3 linked regions of the Rattus norvegicus genome follow. The protein of the gene in region 1 interacts with the protein of each later gene in a pairwise test. Links are inferred from orthologs where the notes say so. Each region holds a gene or a part of one and is shown in the gene's direction. Other genes may lie near its edges.

Region 1 (4,584 bases):
CTTCAAAGGCTGAGATGAGAAGATCATAATTTAGTACTAGCTTTGAAAAGATAGGCAATCGTCTCAAAACAGAACAGAGCCCTAGCTGGTTCTGCTAAGAATCCTCGTCAGCCTGTGGGCGTGGCTCAGGGTAGAGTGACAGCGTAGAATACTCCAATGAGGGGCTAGGGGCGTGGCTCAGCGCTTAGCTTTCAGAGGCTTCTCACAATAACAAAAATGAGTTCTCCTGAGTGTGGTGGTGCACACTTGAAATCCCAGCTGCTTGCGAGGCTGAGGTGGGAGACGGCTTGAGTTGGGGCAGTATAAATGACTCCGGGAAACAGTCTCCTAAAAAGTTAGAAAGGAATAAAGTGGAGGGCTAGAGAGTTGGCTCTTCGGTCTAGAGCACTGGCTGCTCTTCCAGAAGATCCAGGTTTGATTCCAAGCATCCATGTGGCAACTCTCTGTAACTCCAGTTCCCAAGGGACCTGACACCTCATACAGACATACAGGGAAAACGCCGATGCAAGTAAAATAATAAAAATAAATCCTAAAAAAATAAAATAAACTCTGCCTCCCCCATCACCCTGCCAGTAGGTGCACTCCCCTGGTTAGGCCTTGAGTGTTGAGAGCTCTGTGGCAGCTGGGAACCGTCCCAGGCCACATTGACGGGGGTTCCGGTTGCTGTAGAGAATTGGTTGAATATGTGAAGTCAAGGCCTGATCCCCTGTCACCGACAGGTACAGGAGCTGGAGGATTCCCTGATGCAGCTGGAGGCCTCCCCGCCTCCCTCCATGCTCAGAGCAGGCCGTAGAAACAGCAACTCCAGCAGTTCTGGGGCAGAAAGGAGACCCTGGGCACCTCAGGTAAGAATAAAGCCTTCTGAGTGAATGTCATGATGATCCCTGCTTTCCCAGTGTGAGGGGCAAATATCAATTTGTGCTTTATGGGATCCCATAATAAAAGACAAAACTTTTCCTGGGGAGACACTACACACATCAACTGACCACAGATAGGGAGCCCATGACACATCAAATACGGACACCACTAAAGTTCAACTTAGTGAACCAATGAGTTTTATTGGAGTTACAAATAGGATTATGGGTACACATTATGGGTATGAATATGGGTACATATAGGATTGTAGTTATGTACATGTTGATGGACAGAAATGATTCAAAGACAGCTGCATCACCAGAGTCTGAGTGACAGCATGAGTGACAACTCACTAAAACTGGGAACCTGGAGCTCACTGCAGGTTGGAAGTTGTCCCTTCTTAGTGACTCTGGTCTAAACCTCCTTCACACAGCTGGTCTTATCTCAGGGTCTTCTTTGCTTGCTTCTTTGTTCACTAATCTCAAAGGGACTTTCCTTATTTTGGCAGGGAGGGGCCTAGTCCAGTTTCTGCTCAGTTTCAGGGACTTCCTGAAACTATTTGGAGTTGTTTACCGTCCTGCTTCAGGAGCTTCTCTGTCAATACAACCTATAATATATGAAAAGAACTAAATAGGACTTGGAGCCATGGCTCAATGGTTAGGGTCCTAGCTGCTTTTATCGAATACGCAGGTTCAATTCTCTGTAGCCACATGGCAGCTCACAATCATCTGTAACTCTTGTTCTAGGAGATCTGATGCCTTCTTCAGGGCTCCACAGGCACTAGGCATGCATGTGCACAGACAGACGTGAAGGCAAACACCCATATACATAAAATTAAAAGAAAAAATAAAAAGCTTAAATTACCAGCTTGGTAGCTCAAAGCAGTCACCCCACAGTCACCCCAATTGCTTAAGAGCCTGACCAGAAGGATCATGACCAGTAAATGTGGTGACACCCTGTCTCCATATTAAAGAAAAAATAAAATCATTGATGAGATGCCTCAGCTTCTTGGGGCAACTGTTGCCAAGTCTGCTGATACAGGTTCAACCCCTGGGTCCCACAAAGTGAAAGGAGAGAACTGACTCCCATATGTTGTCCTCTGACATCCATTCACATGCCATGGTACACACACACACACACACACACACACACACAGGCATGCACGCATGCATAATACATTCCACATGTGTATGCAAATACCCTCCCCAAAACAAACCAAAGATGTTGTTGTACCTCAGTGGTGAAACAGATTGGTAATATGATCCAAGGCCCTGATTCCACCCCCAGCCCTGCAAAAAAGGGGAGAAAAACACTTCTGGGGCTTTTGATGTTAGATAAATCAAGTCATGTCTTCCTGGCAGGACTCCCCCATGGCTCACCCCTTTCTCCAACGCCTTCGGAGTGACTCCAGCACCCAGAGCTTTGGGTGCCTTTCCACACAGCGTCCATCCCCAGAGATGTACCTCATGGAAGACCAGATGGGACAGCTCCAGGGGTGAGCAGCTGAATTATAGCTGCTGAGCTTTTAAGGACACAATTTCTCCTGCCACTGGGTTGTGATTGGGAAGGGGAGAAAACAGCTCTGGGTGATTGGAGTGTCACTCACCTTCCCTGTTGCCCACCTTTGGAGGCAGGAACATTGAGAAGTTGAAGTGCTTCAACCGCCTCCTGCTGGCTGTGCTCCAGGGCTACAAGGGCCGCTGTGAGAGCCTCAGCATTAAGCTGGGCAAGAGAGAGGCTGAGGCCACAGCCCTGCACCTGGCTCTACAATATAGGTCTGTGCCTGTTTCCAGTGATGGTGGTTGCTGGGGCTGGGGTGGTGCTGCATGCCAGGATGCCTTATGTACAGAGGGACACAGGACCTTCAGACATTGCCTCACAATGACATGTTACTCTGACCCATAAAGAATGAGGGGTGGGAGGTGTCTTTTGTAGTTTGTTATATATTTATTTGAGACAGGGTTTCACTGTGTAGCCCAGGCTGGCCTGGAACTCTCTATGTACAGCAGGCTGGCCTGGAACTCACAGAGATCTGCCTATCTCTGCCTGGGTTGGGGTTGAATGTTGAAACATTTAGATCCTATCCCACAGCAAGGACTGTGAGGAGGTGTATGAGGTGCTGCTTGCTCTGAAGACAGCTGGTCTAGGAGCTGGAGTTGGAGCTACCAATGGCGACCTGCAGGCTGCTGAGAAGGAGGCCTCTAGGCTGCTGGTGAAGAAGGAAGTAGCCATGGATGTAAAGACACCCCAGCCCAGGTACCCACAGGAAGCACAAGAGTTGCTGGTCCATGAGAGTGATGGGGGGCATGTCCCAAAGCCTGCTGTACATGGGGCATTGGGGTTAGGATCATCATTCACTGCTCAGGGTTGGCTCTGCACTCATCATGTTTGGCTGATACAACGCCTGACTGGAGTCGGTTACTCAGTGGCACCAGGTGTGGTGACAGTCTTTGATCTCAGCACTCAGGAGACAGAGTTAGAGTAGTTCCAGGCTAGCCCACACAGAGTGATCCTGTCTGAAATGAATACAAAAGCAAACACACACATACACAAAGCATCAAGTAATGTAGACCCTAGCTTCAGCCTCTAAAACTGGGTAAAAAAAAATACAGGGGTTGGGGATTTAGCTCAGTGGTAGAGAGCTCGCCTAGCAAGTGCAAGGCCCTGGGTTCGGTCCCCAGCTCCGAAAAAAAGAAGAGAAAAAAATACAGTGAAGAGAAATTTATTAGGTTTATTAGCTCATGATTTCAGAGGTGTCAATCCATCATTGCAGCCAGGAAGTAAAGAGGAGGGGTACAGGAAGTAGACAGGATTTCACATAGCCCCAGAGAAAGATGGCACTCTTGACAAGTTGTGTGAACCTGGGAAGGTTATCAGTATACTTGTAAGGAACGTCTATACTAATGGCTGTGAGCTCCTGACTTAGTCTCTGTGCAGAGAGTCCTCAGTGCCAGTGCAGCCTTGGTGCCCAGTTTGAGCTGCGCACACCTCACAAGTAAATTCAAATTCCTCTAGTGGCATTATTACCATCAAGGCTCACCACCTTGCTACGTATCTGAATGTGGCCTTGAACTCCTCCTGCCTCCATCTCCTAAGAGCTGGGCTATTAATATGGTGCCAGGCATGGACCTTCACGCATGCTAGGCAAGTTCTGAGGACTGAGCTGCAAGCACTCTACTGGCTGAGCCCCAGCATCTACCATACTAGAATGCTGGAAGATTATCGGCTGGGTGTAGGTCGTGCTGTGGATGCTGTTGGTAGGCCTCAGGTAGCATAAAAGTGTGGTTCCTTAGGGCTGTGTGTTGGGAACAGCTGGCCTGCCCCCTGTCTCTTATAGTCCAGAGGGCAGTAGTGTGGACAAGCCTACACCAGAGGAACTGGCTGCTCAGCTCCACGGCTATGTCCAGCATCTCCGAGAACGCTGGGCTCTGCTGAAGATCCCCCCAGTACTTGATCCTGCCACTGCACCCAAGCCCACTATGCCCCATGCAGAAGCAACAGTGCAGACCATTCTGGAGATACAGCCCGGGCCCACCTTGCCTCAGCTGGAGAAGTCTCAGATCCAGCAGGACCTAGCGGCTACTCGGGTAGGAATGTGCTGAGATAGTCACAACACATCCTCGATGATGTCATTGGAGCCCAGGGGCAAGCAGGGTCTCCCTTAGGTGGGGAGCTGATCTCTTGTATGAAGGGGAGTTGAAGGTGAGGTTTTAAGGAGTGCATAGGAGT
Region 2 (5,074 bases), on another chromosome or scaffold:
TGTGTGTGTGTATGTATGTATGTGTGTATATATATATATATATATATATATATATATATATATGAAGGATTCAGTACCGTATGCAGTTGAAGACTTTGCAAGTTTGCTTGTTGTCTCTGAGATTCTAGGTTCTGTGGGTCAGGAAGTTTGGGCATCTTTAGGGAAGAATGTTTCTAGTCAGGAACACAGAGATGGTTTTCCTTATGTTTCAGACCCTTTCACCTTCTACATGATGGCGGATTATAGGACCTATCGGCGTCCTGATGCTGACTATCAAGGGCAAATACACTGCTACCGCTTACTGAGTGTTAGGCAGTCCCCTTCTGGGGAGACCTGGCAGACACCACTTCCACTAGAGAGGGCAGTGAGGTCAGACTGAAGGAACAGTCCCATCAAAGTCTCCTTGGTGAACCGATGAGTCGACCAGGGTTGGTTATCAGTCAGGATTCACTCACAGGGCCATCAAAAGCTCAAAGGCAGCTAGGTCACTGAAAACCGGAATCCAGCTAAGTGACCACTCACAAAGTCTGCATCCCTGGAGCTTCCAGCACAACTTGCAGGCAGCTCCACTGAAGAGTCTCTGTTGCCCCAGCAACCCCTTAGGTCACTCACTACCTTGAAGAGGGCCCTCGGGAATCTTCTGGATCTCACAACCCTCCCTCTAATGCTTCAGTTCAGAGTAAATGGCTACACAGTAACAGGGAATGATCAGAATCTAGGGTTACCTCATCACGTTTAGTGTATTAATTCAAGAATCTTTTGATTACCAGTTTGATAAATTCCACTCGGGTTGGATATGGCAAGATATGAACTTCATGGGAAGGCATCAAAACTAGAAACTCAGGAAGCAGAGGCTGGGGCATTAGCCAGCCATGTGTCTTCGTCTCCGTTCCTGGGTGTCCGCTCCAGCGCCGCACATTTTCCCCTATTACACAGGCTTCTTCCAGGTGTCAGGAAATGTGATACTGCAGCCATAGTCTGAAATCCTCCTGTCTAAAGGAAGAACTGTGACTTACCTGGAGTGGGATTCCATTCTTAGTTACACACGCACACACAGAGACACTAACACATATACATAAATAAAAAATAAAATCTTTAAAACTGGCTGCAGGTGATGGAGCGCGCCTTTAATCCCAGCCCTTGGGAGGCAGAGGCAGGCGGATCTCACTGTGCGTTGGAGGCCAACTTGTTCTACGTAGTGCTTTCCAGGACAGCCAGGGTTTCATAATGAGACTCTGTCTCAAAACAACAAACAAAACAATAACATCCGCATAGCTGTCACTAAGTGCGTTTCATCAAATAGGTATAGTACAGTGAAGGGACTTAAAAACAAACAAACAAAACAGGTCTAGGAGTCAGCAAGGATCCTAAAAGTAAATGGGGATGAACAGTTCAGCAGAAAACGTGACGAGCTGGAGCAGGGAAAGGACCGCAGCGAGTGCTGCAGCAGGATGGGACGTGCACCGCGGCCTCGCCAATTTCCTAGCCACTGAGAAACCCAGGAAGGAGTTATTTCGTCGCTATGTCTACAGCAGGAAAAACGATGGATCGGTGGCGCCTAGCCAGAGTGGTTAGGAGATGACACCGGACCTAGAAGGCTCTCGGGTCAAGCCGCGGGAGGAGGCAGTTCCTGCGCGGAGAACCGAACCGGCCCACGTGAGTCAGGCCGCCCCGCCCAGCCGCGCAGACGCCGCTGGACTCCGCAGTCCGGGCTGGGGCTGGGACGGCTGTGCCAGGACCAGGCAGCCGCGCCACCGCGCGTGCACGCGCAGGTCCAGGACCCACCCCCAGCCTCTACAGCGAGCAGGCCCCGAGGAACCATAGCAAACCCCGCAGGAGCGGGCGCCTCTAGGCCGTGAGTCCGGGCCCTGATGGAGTGCTTGGGGCCCAGCCGCCTGAGGGTGGATTGGGGAGCTGCCTCTGCAGAGATCAGGGTCACTGTGCTCTCTGTCCCCTGTGAGGCTGCCAATCCCCGTGCTACAGTCCCCTCCCTTACCCCTACACTATAGATTAGCTGGGAGGAGAGGGGGATCCTGATCTTGGGATGTCTGGATTCATTTCACTGACTTTTTGAGCCTGGATGCTTAACCCCACTGTCACCCCACCCCACCCCAACTTTCTTTGTAAGCCTGGCCAAATTTAGGAAATTTTTTTTTTTTATTCTTTTTTTCGGAGCTGGGGACCGAACCCAGGGCCTTGCGCTTCCTAGGTAAGCGCTCTACCACTGAGCTAAATCCCCAGCCCCTAGGAAATTTTTAAAATAGAGTATGTATGTGTGTATGGGGCGGGGGGGGATTGGGGGTGTCTTCAGGCCTTTTCTTACAAGCCAAAGGGGTGGAAACATCTGTCCCAACCTCAGTCTCCATGACTTCTGCCTATTGCTGGGTGTGGGGAGGCTCCCTGCCACCTATAGGGGAACCTTCCTAGTGGCTGCTTGATTGACTTAATGGTATGTTTCACTCATGAGGCCTCAGTTCTTCCTTCTGGTCATAGACGTGTGGTCAATGGAACGTCTTGTCAGTTCATACTCAAAAGCGATTATTAGGGAAGAGAGAGAGGGAGAAAATCAGCATGGAGCAAACTGAGTCCCATGAACATGTACCAGGAGCACTAGAGGGGAAGGGACAGACTTGCAAGAGAGGCTTGTCATTGTGGGTTCAGGAGACAGGGGTTCCTTAGTGTGGAGGAGGAGAAAGAGACCAGCGCTTCAAGCCCTGGGTCTCTGCTGTAGCCGCCTTCTGGCATTATTACTGTCTTCCTAAGAACAGGAGCCCCACGGTAGCCCCTTAGTCACTCTCTGCAGGTAATTACTGATACCTGCTATGGCTGGCTGGGTTTGCTCTAGAGCAGAGGTTCTCAACCTTCCTAACACTGCGACCCTTTAAGACAGCTCCTCATACTGTGGTGACCCCCAAGTAGTAACTTGTTGCTACTTCCTTTTTGTTTGTTTGTGTTTGTTTTTGTTTTTCCGGACAGGGTTTCTCTCTGTAGCTCTGGCTGTCCTGGAACTCGCTCTCTCTGTAGACCAGCCTGGTGGTAGAACTCATGAGATCCACTTGCCTCTGGGCTCAAGCACTGGGATTAAAGGCGTACATCACCACCGCCCAGCTTCTGTTCCTACTTAGTAACTGTAATTTTGCTACTGTTATAAATCGTCATGGAAATGTGGTTCTCTTATGGAATATATCTGTCCATATCTATACATCTACATACATGTAGACATATGTTCCTTTTGAAAGTATAATTTGTTATTTAGCTGAACGTCTTTTTAAAAAACATTAGCATATCTGTGTATGCACACGTGCATGTGGGTGAACAAATTGGCCAGAAGACGAGGTTGGGATGAAGCTAGCCATACAGGCAGTTGTGAACCACCTGACTTGGGTGCTAGGAATGGGACATAGATCCTCTGGAAGAGCAGCCAGTCCATTTAACTGCTGAGCCTTCTCTCCAACCCAAGTTTGTATTTTTAGTTGGAGGAGGGTCAGTGGAATGGCTGTGACAATCACTTGGGTCAAAATGACCAGAGCTAAAGGAGAGTTTGACAAGATGTGGACAGTGAGGTGGCCATGGGAGGAGGGTGAGTAGTCCAGGTCCTCCTAGGCATCTGGGTGGCTAGACTCAGCAGAGTGTCCTGCCAGAGGACGCTGCAAGGAGAGCTGTCTGGATGTGTAGAATTTGAAGAACCGGCGGTAGGTCACAAGGTTGAGTAGGGGTTGAATCTGGGCTGGACACGGATCTGAGAGTTGCTTACACATGATGGTTCTCGAAGCTGTAACAGGATGAAGTGACCTGGGGAGAAGTTTGTAGAATGACGAGATGGGCAGCCTTAAAGGGAAACCCCGCTCTGTGAAAGCCACGAGGAGGTTACTGGGCTCAAGGTTGTCATTCCATCCTCTCCTGCTGTGACTCATTCTTCTGCTTCTCCTTCACAGTCCAGATGTTTGCTGCTATCCAGCCAGGACTAGCAGAGGGGGCCCAGTACCTGGGGAGCCTGCCTCCTGGAGTATGTCACCCGGACCTCCAACCAGACAGTAATTCCAACTTCGTGGAGAGCGCTAAGGATGCTAATAAGAACTGGCATGGTGTGGATCCTATTCTGATAAGAAGCTCCTCTGAGTCGCCCTCTGATAACCGGGTCTTCCAAGCCACTGGGCTCCCTGAGGCCGGAGTCCGCAGTCCCCCGGAGGGTGCAGAGATCCCTGGTGCTGAGCCAGAGAAGTCGAGTGATGCCAGCAGCGTCTGCTCTCCTCTGGAGGACATCGGCTATGCCAGCAGTTCCTTGAGCATCAGCAGCTTTAGCAGCAGTGCAGAAGCTGGCTGTAGCACCCCTCGAGGTCCAAGCCCCCTGGATCCCCTTCTGCCCTCTGTGGCCCAGGCCGTGCAGCAGCTGCAGGCTCAGGAGCGCTACAAGGAACAGGAGAAGGAGAAACACCATGTGCATTTGGTGATGTACCGTCGCTTGGCGCTGCTCCAGTGGATCCGGGCTCTACAGCACCAGTTGGTTGACCAGCAGGCCCGACTGCAGGAGAGCTTTGACACCATCCTAGACAACCGGAAGGAACTTATCCGCTGTCTGCAACACAGGGAAGGACCTTGCAGGCACCAGGACCAGGGCTGAGGGTGGGCACAAGTATGTTGGCAGGCTTCTGTGTGGTTATGCACAAGTAAGTATGTATTAGTTGGCATGTGTGTAAGTCAGCATAAGTGAATATATATATATGCTAACATGTAAGCAGGTATGTAAGGCATGTGTGAACGAACTTGTGTGTGTGTTACATGTTGCATGTGTGTTTATGTGTGCATATGTGGCTAGGTACTCAGGAATGTGTATATATATATCTATTCCCAAATGTAGAGGCAAAAGATAGGTATGCATGTGTTATCAGTTTAAACGTGCAGGCTTGTGTTGGGGTGTGAGTGACCCTCTGTGTGTTGAGATTTACACGTTCCAGTTCTGGCCTAAGAAGCACGTGCTAGGAACGTGTGTATTTGCAGAGACTTAAGAGCAGGTGTGTGTAAATAGACGTTCAATCGCACCTGCAGGGCATCCATCCATCCTGTGTTCCCAAAG
Region 3 (5,272 bases), on another chromosome or scaffold:
GGCCAGGAGTAAAATGGAGCAGCCAGGGTGGGAAACTGGGGGAGGCCACTATTCCAGGGATTTCCAGAAAGGCAGACTTGGGAGCAATAGACATAGAGTACTACACGTTATTCCTAGAGCATTTCTCATGCCCAAGAATGGGTGGCTCTTAAGTTTCTGTGGCTTCAGAGTGGTCCCTCCTGCATCTCCCTTTCTCAGGCCCTTCCACCATCTCCGTCCTTCCCCACCTTGGCTCTACTGGCCTCCCTCTATCATTCCCAGTTCATTCCCACTCCAGAGCCTTGACACTAGCTGTGCTCACCCTAAACATTTGTCCCACATAAGCAATGACTCCTTGTCTGCGCCCACCTTTCCCAAGCTTCCAGTCACTGCCCTTCCTTACTCAGCCTTTCTACAGTCATACATCACTGGTTGACATTTTCTTGTATGTCTTTTTATCTACTGTCACACACACACACTACACACACATGCACACCACACACACACACACACACACACACACACACACACACACACACACACACACACACACACTGAATGTGGATCCCCTGAGAACAGGGGTACTGTCTCTCTCTGTTGCTTTCCCATCATACGCCCACTTAGAACATGCCAGGAAATATACACATACATATTAGATATTGACTACATGAACAGATCCTAGGGCCAAAATGAACTCAAACTGCGTGTGGAATATGTCTGCCTACCTGTGATGTGTGTGACCTGAACCTCATCGCTCTTGACCGACCAAAGTTCCATGAGAAAGTAAACTGGGGTACAGGCCTAGTCTCACTGGCAGAGGCTGGTTTCCTCAGTTGGGGGACAGAGAATAATGCCAAACGACAGAATGGCCCAAGGCTCGAGCAGTAGCTAGTTCAGAGGTGCAGAGAAGGCCTTTGATCTACAAGCACCTAGATTGGCTTTGGGGTTCTGCCCAAGCCCACAGCTTCTCTTTGCGCACACTCTCATTGTGGCCAGGCACAGGCATGCACATTGGGGCTCTGCCTTTAGCACATGACAGTTCTCTGAAGGCTGCTTTAATGAACACCATCTCATTGAGGTCACGCGCAGCCAACACACACAGGAAAGCCAAAGTACAGAAGGGACTAGGATCAGAGTGGGCTAGGTACAAATCTATCCGCTGCCCTTTTCCTGGACTACATCCTGCTGGTTCTTCTGTGGAAATTAATTGTGTGAAGTTTGTTTGTTTGTTTGTTTGTTTGTTTGTTTGAGATAGGGTTTCTCTGTGTAGTCCTGGCTATCCTGGAACTCTCTCTCTCTGTAGACCATGCTGGCCTTGAACACAGAGATCTACCTCCTTCTGCCTCCCAAATGCTCTGGCTGTCCATGTGCCCAACACATTTGTAGATGACCACTTCACTTCACAATGTTTCTTACACCTAAGCCTGCAGGGCTGCCAAGAACTGTCTGGGTATAGTTCTCTCCCTGCTAGTATCCAAGAGCCAAGTTCTAAAGAATCCCTCACTGCAGCAGGAAGCGTGGTTCCCCTCCCCTCCTTTGGGGAAGTGCTGGAATTCCCTCCCATACAAACAAGGGAAATTCCTCCTCAGAAGCCAGGAGCCGCCTTGTTCAGAACAAAGCTTGGTGTGAGTCATATTCCTCATCAATCTGACAACACGGGTATTTATTGGTGCCTCTCAATCAGGGTGGCTTGGACATGGTGTTCTGAGTCTCGGACACGGCCACTCACCAAGTAAAATAACGGTTTCTATAGCAACAGTTCTTTTTCATTGCTATCAGAATAAATGGGAATGCAAAACTGCCTCCCATCTTGGGGGTTTAAGGCCCGCCCTTTGGGGGTGGCTGCCTCAGCCATCTGGGACTGGCTTAGCACTCCCTAAGTCTGAAACCTGCAGAGGACCTCGCAGCCCAGACACTGCCAAGGAGCTCACAGCCCCGGACCTGTAGAGAAGTAAGACTCTGATCTATTCTGCTTCACATCTGTTAGGCTGAGTGTGTTCTAGGAGAAGGTGGTGGGAAGGAGATGACCTAAGAGCATCGGAGCAAGCTGTCCCAGCAACTAAGCCCTTCAAAATGTAGGTACTGGGACCCTGCCTTACTGAGGTGAGAAGAGGCAGGGATGTGAAGTGGGGGTGGGAGATAGAGGGTTAAGTAGGCTCTCAGTTACAACCCGGCAGTCTGGTTGACCTTTTACTTCTAAACACTGAGAGGAATTTAACATCTGCTACAGCCTCTCTTAAATCCATCATCACACAGTAGGGGTATGTAGGGTCAGCAAGGAGGGTTCACTTAATAGAGGACAGATAGACACAATCGGCAGATAGTCCAGGTTCTATATGCAATGAGAAAAGCACAGAACTTGGATTTGGGTACCAAAGCTCAGCTCGGATTCTGGCTACCTCACACACTGGCTATGTGATCTGGAGAAATCAGACGACGTCTCTGAGGTCTGTTCCTAAGAAGGGGTTGCCCACCTTCTCAGTTTATTGAGAGTTTTGAGTCGGAAACTAGACGAATAGCTCATTACTCAGCCTGTACTGAGAATGCAGGCTATGGGTGATTCCCGCCTTGCCGATGGACTTGGCTTCATCACGTGGTACACGGCCAGTCTGGGACTAGAGAAATCAGGGATCCAGGGATCAGGGGATTGCCTGTCACTAGGAAGCTGCTATTAGTGGGATGGGCTCTAAATTTGAAACAGTCCTCCCACACACATGGGTTTCTGGGTGCTTGGGTCCTGATGGCTTCCTCACTGTGAAGTCTGGCAACCCCTGCTGTGATTTTTCCCTGAGCCAGCTGCCAGGTGCAACAGCTGTCATCAGATCACAAGGATAGCAGTATGGGACATCCACTCACGCTGCTTCCTGCTCAACAGCAGGGCACAATCCCCAGCCTTGCTATGGACCCTATAGGCCTCACCCTTCAAATCCAACCTTTCTTTTCTCTGGTGAAACGGATCCAGGGGACCAAGACCTGAAGTAGTCTGGAGCCTTCTTGCCTAAATGGATAGGTGGCTCCAAGACGAAGAAGATTGACCTGAGTCTGCAGGGAGACCTAGAGCTGTTGCCAAATGCGTTCTTAGGTTACTGGCCAGCCATTGAGCTACAAATGCATACCACCCACAGGGAGGAGAGAGCAAGCAGGACATGTGGCAGCCAGCTTGTCATTTTTCTGAATGTTTCTCCTTCTCTTGCCAGTGCTTCTCAAAGCCCCCCTGCTGATGCTGAACCAGAAAGGTTTAGAGGAACTGGGGGTTGAAACCTGGCCACAGGCCTGACAGGAAAAAGCTGCTTCAAGCAGCAGGGCAGTGCTTGCGTTTCTCACTGTCTGGTTCTCTGGCCATCATGTTCTCAGCCTTCCTCTTCACAGGGGTTTATTGAGTATACAGAGAGAGAGAGAGCAAAGGGCTGTAAATTGGTTCTGTTGAGTCAAAAACATGCCATTCCTAGGAGACAGTTCTATGGTAGAAAGAGTACTAGGTTTGGAGTCCAACAATCCTGGCTTTGCTAAGTACTTGGCGTGTACCTTAGCTTGATAAGCCCTGATTTCTTCAACTACAAAATGAGTTGCCTTCAAGATAATCATGAGAGTCAGACCAAGTCCCGTGCTCACTCCAAAACATGCAGGACAAGAAAGAGGTTCACAGTCTGCCTACTCAGCCAGGTAGTCTACAAACTACAGTGTGCACACCACAAGGTCTCACATTCTAATGACCTGAGGGGACGGGAGGTGGCCATGATCTCCACTGGTCAGAGGCTGAGAGCGCAGGAGCTGTTTGCTTGAGGCCACACAAGCTAAGATCATGTGTTACATTGTTTCTTTTGCTTTAATCCCTGAACACTTTGTGGACCCAGTGTCATGTGTTGTAACTGATAGACCAGAAACACAATAAGAACATTGAAGATAGAGGGAATGCAGTCAGAAAGTGACAAGAAGACCATAAGGATTCAGCCCAGTTGGTCAAGAACTTACCCAGCATGCACAAAGCCCTGAGATGGATCGATGATACCCCATAAATGGGACATGGTGGCTATGCCTATAGTGTTAGCCCTTGGGAGGTGGAAGCAGGCCAATCAAGAGTTCAAGGTCACCCTTGGCTATGTAACAAGTTTGAGGCCAACTGGGGATATGTGAAACCCTCCTAAAAAGGGGAGGGGGATGAAAGGATCTTGTGCAGTAACCAGGTTCCTGCAGCTGTTCTCAGTGTAAACTTCACCCTGTAGCAAGAGTATCATTCTCCTCCGGCTCTCTCCTCACTGCCCAGGAAAGACCAGGGATTGCTATCGAAGCTACTGTTCCCACCAGTCTGTGCACACCCAGAACCAGACTCAGTCTTTAGGAAGGAACCCTGGGACCTTTTGGGTTACCAACAGAACCTGTGAAGAATGAGAGGCCCCGGTCTCTCTTCTGTATTCTTATCCCTGTGACCCTTCGACCCTCTTAGAGACATACAGACCACTCATTTAGCCAAAACCTTCTGGTCCCAGAGCTCTGTGCCCAACAGAACCTCCTCAGTCACCATGATTCTCTGTAGGATTGAGTAGGGGGCCTACTTCTGTCCTTCTGCTCTGTCACAGGGCTCAGGCTGCTCTGGGAGGCAGGATTCGGGAAGTTTGACCCGTCAGGTGGGTGTTAGACTGTGGGAAGCTGCGGGACACTGCTCCAGGGTAGGGAAGCACCGTCTGAGGACAGGACGCTGCAGCCTTCAGTTCTTAGGCTCTTGGGCATCCAGGCACCGCTGGGATGCTGCAGAAACAGAGTGGGGGCCGATCTAGCCAGGGGCAGAGGGGGAAAAGGAGGGGGGATGCTCCAACTGGTCCTGCTGGGAAGTCTTTGGCTGTCCTGGGTATCAGGCTTGGGCTTGGTAGAGGGCTGAAGCTGGGAGGGCAGGAAAGTCTTCTATGGGAGATTAGGTGACTGGCTCTGTAGGCGAAGGGATTCTCAATGGCTTGCCACCGTGGATCCCATAAGAAGAGGTAGTCCATGGTTTCAAGGCATTTATTGTGATGGTGGATAGGGAATGAGAAAAATTGTACTCCACTTCTCAGAGTGGGCCTGGGATTAAATATCTTTTTCAGGGAAGAGTTTCTGGAAGGAAAGTTCATTGGCTAAGTCTCCAGACCTTTAGGTATCTCATTATAATGGAGATCTGTCTTGAGCCTACTTGACCTATGGTCATGTCCTCTACCTGTGAAGGAGCTTGGGGTGTTTCCCTTATGTGACAGATGGTCACAGATCTATGAAGGGCTGCGGGCCAGTGACCAGCCTGGTTTCCTGGGAGTCAGGCAAAGCG

Evidence for each region.
Region 2: the proteins of Ushbp1 (region 1) and C5h1orf216 interact in binary tests that used the Homo sapiens proteins (3 or more experiments, as listed by UniProt). The two-hybrid records come from large-scale screens. The link is inferred for Rattus norvegicus from reciprocal best matches to the Homo sapiens genes USHBP1 and C1orf216.
Region 3: the proteins of Ushbp1 (region 1) and Fam107a interact in binary tests that used the Homo sapiens proteins (3 or more experiments, as listed by UniProt). The two-hybrid records come from large-scale screens. The link is inferred for Rattus norvegicus from reciprocal best matches to the Homo sapiens genes USHBP1 and FAM107A.

What each region holds. Positions count from the first base shown.
Region 1 is NC_086034.1:18,094,680-18,099,263, reverse strand, and holds part of Ushbp1 (harmonin-binding protein USHBP1), read left to right. Parts: intron 1-719; coding exon 720-845; intron 846-2,216; coding exon 2,217-2,350; intron 2,351-2,489; coding exon 2,490-2,630; intron 2,631-2,946; coding exon 2,947-3,111; intron 3,112-4,192; coding exon 4,193-4,442; intron 4,443-4,584.
Region 2 is NC_086023.1:144,183,398-144,188,471, forward strand, and holds the start of C5h1orf216 (UPF0500 protein C1orf216 homolog), read left to right. Parts: upstream 1-1,683; 5' UTR 1,684-1,855; intron 1,856-2,320; exon of another isoform or gene 2,321-3,045; coding exon of another isoform or gene 3,046-3,130; intron 3,131-3,935; coding exon of another isoform or gene 3,936-3,940; coding exon 3,941-4,621; 3' UTR 4,622-5,074.
Region 3 is NC_086033.1:19,044,700-19,049,971, forward strand, and holds the start of Fam107a (actin-associated protein FAM107A), read left to right. Parts: upstream 1-1,881; 5' UTR 1,882-1,930; exon of another isoform or gene 1,931-2,082; intron 2,083-5,272. UniProt on the Homo sapiens protein: Stress-inducible actin-binding protein that plays a role in synaptic and cognitive functions by modulating actin filamentous (F-actin) dynamics. Mediates polymerization of globular actin to F-actin. Also binds to, stabilizes and bundles F-actin.